Linked DNA regions of Bombyx mori. The protein of the gene in region 2 purifies or fractionates together with the protein of the main gene of each other region. This does not show direct contact. Links are inferred from orthologs where the notes say so. Each region holds a gene or a part of one and is shown on either strand. Other genes may lie near its edges.

What was found. Proteins that work in one complex are often made in the same cells at the same time.
Region 1: the proteins of lethal(2) giant larvae protein (region 2) and partitioning defective protein 6 purify together in Drosophila melanogaster (affinity purification with western blotting; 5 studies listed by BioGRID, with this or other methods). This does not show direct contact. The link is inferred for Bombyx mori from reciprocal best matches to the Drosophila melanogaster genes l(2)gl and par-6.

The regions. Positions count from the first base shown.
Region 1 is NC_085126.1:2,348,450-2,351,892, forward strand, and holds part of partitioning defective protein 6, read left to right. Parts: intron 1-1,074; coding exon 1,075-1,192; 3' UTR 1,193-3,443.
Region 2 is NC_085123.1:3,351,624-3,355,285, reverse strand, and holds part of lethal(2) giant larvae protein, read right to left. Parts: intron 2,050-3,662; coding exon 1,872-2,049; intron 1,087-1,871; coding exon 840-1,086; intron 209-839; coding exon 21-208; intron 1-20. UniProt on the Drosophila melanogaster protein: Essential for the development of polarized epithelia, for cell polarity associated with asymmetric cell division of neuroblasts during development, and for oocyte polarity formation.

The DNA of each region.
Region 1 (3,443 bases), on a different chromosome or scaffold from region 2:
TGTTAGCCCGCTGAGTTTCTCGCCGGATCTTCTCAGTGGGTCGCGATTCCGATCCGGTAGTAGATTCATTCGCGAAGCAGTTGCTCTTGAGTTGTTAGATCTTCGCAGGCGCTCGGGCAGTTGTTAGCAAATCCCACCCCTCCTGGCTGAGCCTTTGCTCGCCCACCTGTCCTGGTGAAGCTGGAAAGGCCTCCGGGCAAGCAGTAATCTTTCAATCATAAAAAAAATTATTTTTTTGTCAACGCCCATTATAGAGAAGGAGCGGTGTATTACGAGTTGCTAAATCGATAGAAAAAAATATAATTCATTAAATGGTGACCCCCCAATAACCGTTTCACGGCCCCCACAAGGGTCGCGACCCCTAATTTTCGCTTCACTGCTTCAGGCCATGATGGCTTAAAATTTTGCACTAATTTTTTTGTTGTTGAATTCTTATTTAAATGGCACAGTTATATTATATTGCTCGCTCACCTCACGCCGTCGGCCATGACGAGACTGAAGCCCAAAGCTCGCGAAACGCTTTGTCAATCTGACCTTTATATATACTGCGACATCCGATCCACTTGCAAGCTTTCAAGCGTATGAAGGATTGTGACAAATATAATAATTTTATTATTTAGACCTTAAAAAAATGACGTTTTATATTCACTTCGCTATTAAAGTGTATTGCATTTTTTTTTATTGCATAGATGGGTGGAGGAGCTCACAGCCCACCTGGTGTTAAGTAGTTACCGGAGCCCATAGACGTATACAACGTAAATGCGCCACCCACCTCGAGATATGAGTTTAAGGTCTCAGTATAGTTACAACGGCTGTCCCACCCTTCAAACTGCATTACTGCTTCACGGCAGAAATAGGCAGGGCGGTGGTACCTACCCGTGCGGACTCACAAGAGGTCCTACCAACAGTAGAAACTTTTTTGGTAACTTGGCGAATAATTGGTGAATACCACTATTTACTCTGCACTACCTTTGGTTGACTGGTAGAGAATGTCTTAGGCATTAAGTCCGCCAATGTAAATTTTACATGAATTGTAATAAATAAAATATAATAATCATGAAAACTCTTACCCAGGTTCGATCAAGACGAGCAAGACGAGATCGTCGATCTGACCGCCGTGACGCTGGAGGAGTACCCGGAGGGCGGCGCGCGCGGCCCGGCCCGCGACGACGGACACGTGCTGCACCTCTAGCGCGTCGCGCGCCGCACTGGGAGACGACCGCGGGATAGAGAACGCTCTGATGACGTAAGACATTATTCAAGCCGTCATGACCGAGTCACGGGAACCCTCATACACATATAGAAGAACATTATCAGAATTTTAGTGAGCCAGTCAAATTTGTTTAGGTTTTTAGTTGAAACATTTGTTGAGTCTCTATATCGGGCAAGGATTAATAAGACACGTGTTCAGTTAAGTGACTTAACGTATTTGGGATTACAACCTAACGTGCTATCGACAGCCCGACAATCCCGAGACTGACGTAGCATCATTGCAATATAATTACCGCTAACACATGCATATAATTATTAGTTGCTGTGAGGACATTTGTGGTCCCTACACATTTAAAAAAAAATGTGAGGGATACGTGATGCTTCCGTAAATAGATAAACGGAACATATGGCTCTGATAAAGTTTGATTTTAACGTTAAAACTCTTATCTCTGCACTAAATCGATATTTGTATAATACCGGTAAGTTTGTATTGTTTCTCTATCCCCGAAACTAAACTCTGTTCCATACGAAACAAGTGTCAAATTCCTAAAAAACATTCCATTTAGGATACGAGTGTGTTAAATTTTAATGGTGCGTATATTTTCCATGTGAAAATTGTAAAAGACAATAATTATTAGGGGAGGTCTTATAGCTTGTGTACTTAATCATTCCGTTGTATGCCTTATATCGTAAGTGATAAGTGTCAAATTAGATAAAACTTAGTTGTCACAATTATTTAGAAGCAATAACACGTTATTGTTTTAAGTTTTTTTTTTAATTATTATGATTATTAAAAAACATTTATGAAATAGAAAATGTATATTATTATAAGTTGGATAATATGTTAATTGAGTGAACGAATGGATTTTTTGTCATTCTGTAACATTCGCCATTCACTCCGAGCGAATGTTTATGTTTTTGATTGACCAGTAGGATTCATAGATTATAGACCCGAGAGATCACGGTTTAGAAACTAGGCAAGTTTCTAATTATTCTGAAATCGATTAAGTAAAGTATACTCACGAACGCTCAAGGTGGCCTGGGCGATGGCACGAGCAATGAAAAGTACTCCAGGCCTATTATCGGCCTAGTAAGTTAAGATTTTCACATATCAAATGTTCAATTGGCATGGAATATAATAATGAATTAATAACATTGTTAAATGGTGCTTAAAAAACACTTCGAAAATGTCCAAATCGTAAAATGTAAAGCTAACTTTAACTATTGTGTCATAAAAAATAAAAATAAAAAAGATTAAAAATTCTTGCTATGCGCTTGAGTCTTATAGAATTATTATAAATTGTCAAATCAAAAATATCGATAATAATGTTTAAATATATTTAAATAGTATTAAACATAAGTGCCTTTATGACAATATGTTTTCCATTATTACAAATAACATTCCATTGTAACTAATTTAAAAAAAAAAATTTGTGAAACACTATTTGTTAATTTTATTACAACGTCAATTATGTTCCTGATTATTCAAATTGAAAATTTTCAAAGACGACGACCTATTTAATAATAAAATGAAAAGAAACTAAAAATATATTCAACAAACAACAAGAAATAAATAAAAAATGCATTTCAATATCGCTAGTCTATTGTTGTTCCTGACGTTTGGAGAAATTGATTTTGTCTATGGTCTATCGTTGAAAATATCGCACATATTATGGTGCTTTAATATTAAAGTCACTTATGCAAAAAAAAATTTACAGTGAACTGATTATGAGAAATAATTTTTTTAGTTATTAGTTATACCTAGTGAGACGAAAGAGATGTTTGCTTTTACTGATGAAGTTTGTAGTTTAAATATTATGATTTTATTTCTATAGCCTAGAAGAACTATATACGAATTACATATATATACATATATATAGTAAGATGTTGAATTTTCCAACGTTTCTCCTGAAAAATTACATAATTTGCATAAGTGACGTTATCGCATCGTATGTGCGATATATCAATTAATATTAATATAACAAGGACATAATATAACGAAGGGTGAAAATGTATTTGGCTTAAGCGACATTTTTGCAACTTTACAAGAGAGCCATTTATAGGTTGAAAAATAAAAAAAAAAAATCTTGACAAAAAAACTTTTTTAGCTATTTGAATGGAGAACACTTTATTGAAGTTCAATTAAAAACATCGAATTGTTGATGCGAATGTCAAATAAAACTTTTAATTATGTACAGAGATTTATTATTATTATATCGGGTATTAACCGA
Region 2 (3,662 bases):
TATCTAAATTAAATAATTACCATCGTCATTCCAGCATAAGCTTTCAAGCTGTTGATTCGAAACAAATGTATGTGTGGGAGCCGCAGCCTCCCGGTCCCAAAGCACGGCCAGTCCTCGGTTGTATCCGATCAGAATACGTGTAGGAGTCTTAGGGTGTTCGTATACAGACTCCACCGCGCCTGGGTTAACTTTGTAATCCTCTGGGCAGCTGGAATATAAAGATTTGACTATTAATATCAGAGAGAACCAAGTTTGTTTACTTTTTTTTATTGCTTAGATGGGTGGACGAGCTCACAGCCCACCTGGCGTTAAGTGGTTACTGGAGCCCATAGACATCTACAACATAAATTCGCCACCCACCTTGAGATATAAGTTCTGAGGTCTCAAGTATAGTTACAACGGCTGCCCCACCCTTCAAGCCGAAATGCTTTACTGCTTCACGGAAGAAATAGGCAGGGTGGTGGTAGCCACCCGCGCGGACTCACAAGAGGTCCTACCACCAGTAATTACGCAAATTATAATTTTGCGGGTTTGATTTTTATTACACGATGTTATTCCTTCACCGTGGAAGTCAATCGTGAACATTGGTTGAGTACGTATTTCATTAGAAAAATTGGTACCTACTACAGATTGATAATAAAAATATCGAAGACTTTCGACAAAAAAACTATGCACCGCAAATTTGAGATCATAGTGTGAAGAGCAATGCGATAGCTATTGAACTGTCTTCCAAAGTAGCTTTGTGGTACAAATAAACTGACCACAATAATGATCAGCATGACCTCATTGAATAGACTCAGGAAACTAAAATTAAAAACAAATCTAGATTAATCACTCACTTCTGCATAACGACATCCTGGTATATGACATCTTCCGAGATCGTGAAAGCGCTCAAATCCAATGAGTAAATGTTGCCGCCTTCGGTTCCCAGTAAAGCGTTCTTCGCTGACGATTCTACGCATATGGCCGATATCTTTTTATTTTTACCTTCGAATACATGCGACTTTAATTCCACTAGAGATTTCTCGTTGATCTCCCACAAGTGAAGGCTGTTATCGTCGCATAATGATATCAAACGGCCTGTCCCTGTAAACCGAACGAGAATAGCTTCATTTGGGCGTTGCGTCATAATGATGCGGACAAATATGGTGATACCACGTAAAATCGCATGTTTAAAAAAAAAAGTACAATTGGCATTGGGTTAGAGAATAGTAATTTTAGTTAATTGAGGTAGCGGCTGATCGAGAATGTGGTATTTTCTTGGTATAACGACTACGTGGACAACTACCATGCAAGGTCACAGTATCCTTATTGTGAAACGATATAATTTAACAATATTTAGAAGTAAATTAATGATAGTAAATGTCAAAAACAGTTTCCATTGCTTCTAAGGAAAAGTATATTAAAAGTTTAGAAGTTTAAGAGGTAAAAACTAGCTAGGTGCGTCACGTACGAAGCTCAGCAGAGATAGTTACAGTATTACAATTTGTTTGAGTTTGAATGATGGAATTGTCAAAGATGAATTTACTTTTTTGTTTGCTTTACCATAAATATGAATATATTATCATCTTATGACTTTTTTCGAAGTTTATATCTATCACCATAATAATAAATTTAGAAAAAAATGAATGGCAGAGCAGAGTAATGAATGACTCATTTTCAAACTCAAATGACTCATTTCAATTCATTTTAAAACTTTTTTATATATTTTTGTAGATTTACTTATGCGCGTTGGATTTTTTCTAGTTGATCATATATAAGCCTTACTCGATTGAATAAACTAATCGCAATGGTCTCGAAGTTATATGCTATGCGATATATAATCCGAAGAGGATTAATGAAGGATGAAGGTATTTATTTTCTTTGCTTACCTGTGATGAAATGTATCTGTGTGACTATCGATTCGTAATTGGTGTGTTGGCCGTAGAGTTCGACGCCTGGTCTGCCGTAGACCTTGAGCGCTCCGGTGGCGGTACCAAGCGCCGCGAGTCTGAGGAGCGGATCCCACGCGAGTGCTGACGCTCTGTGCGGGAAGCCATGCTGGACTGTCTGAGGATACAATAAATTATAAGAGACCGATAACCAATAGGGATCAGAAAGTCGTCGTGGCCTAAAGGATAAGCCGTCCGGTGCATTTGTATGTAGCGATGCATCGGTGTTCGAATCCCGCCGGCAGGTACAAATTTTTTCAATGAAATATGTTCTTGAGAAATATCCACGGTGAAGGAATAACATCTATACTAATATTATAAAGAGGAAAGATTTGTTTGTTTGTTTGTTTCGAATAGGCTCCGAAACTACTGGACCGATTTGAAAAATTATTTTTCCATTAGAAGCCGACATTGTCCATGATGAACATAGGCTACTTTTTTTTAAAAAAAAATATTTTATTTTTTTGGATTCATGTGTGTTTTAATGTTTCCGAAGCGAAGCGAGGGCGGGTCGCTAGTTGTGTAATAAAAATCAAACCCGCAAAATTATAATTTGCGTAATTACTGGTGCTAAATGTCTATGGGCTCCAGTAACCACTTAACACCAGGTGGGCTGTGTGTGAGCTCATCCACCATCGAAGCAATAAAAAAATTATAAAAAAATAGGTTATTATATCAAAATCTGATACAATCAGCTTAATCTTGCCCCTAGGTATATCTAGTACATGCATAGAGGAAGCAAAAAAAGCTCGATTTTGTACGAGAAACCGGTTACAGTTAGAAACTTTGCAACGATAAGGAATTATCACGGAAGTCGCCGGGCGGTGCTTTGTTTTCAGAAATGTGAAGTGTGTTTACCAAGACGAGCGCTTGTATTTCAAGTGAACTACTAGATGGTGACCGAGCTTTGTTCGTTTTTTTTTTTGATAACGCCATCTTGTTAGTCGCCCTCAATTAAGAAAAATAGTATTATTATTCGCCAATAGATGTCGGGAAGAGTTGATTATTGAAAACGCGAATAAAACAACATTTTCTGAGAATAAATCGTAGCTAGATCGATTTATCGCCCCCGAAATACCCTGTATACTAAATTTTATGAAAATCGTTGGAGCCGTTTCCGAGTTTCAGATTATATACATATTTATTAATATACAAGAATTGCTCGTTTAAAGGTATAAGATAAGTAACGGCAGTGTGAAGTTATTGATTGATGAGCGTGTCAGCATTCGTTGGGTGCCACTCATATTAATTATATTAGCGTCATGGCTGACTCTTCCATGTGTTAGCGATTTGAGTCTGACAGTTTACACATTAAAATATATGATGCTGAAAATTAAGTATCGATTTTTTTGTTACATATTTTTGAGTAGGAAAAATTATAACAGTTTTAAACTTTTTCGTTATTTTATCTAATAACAAACTCGAATTAATATTCTGGCGATTTGACAAAACGTCTTCAAATACCCGCCATCAAGGGGTCGATGGGCAAAAAAAGTTCTGCTATTGTTATTGAATTTCGCATAGTCGTAAAACCAACCATAAGCGACACTTCATACACAAATGTCCTTGAACAGAGTAATTGTAGCCTAGTATTGTATTTTAGTAACCTCAAGGGGTTATACTAGATTCACAGAACTAGGGGAACGGTTAATACACAAAATAAAGTTAATCTAATTATCTATCTACTGTGAATGATGAGGAGTTAGTAATTCAAGATGACCACGCTTGTTT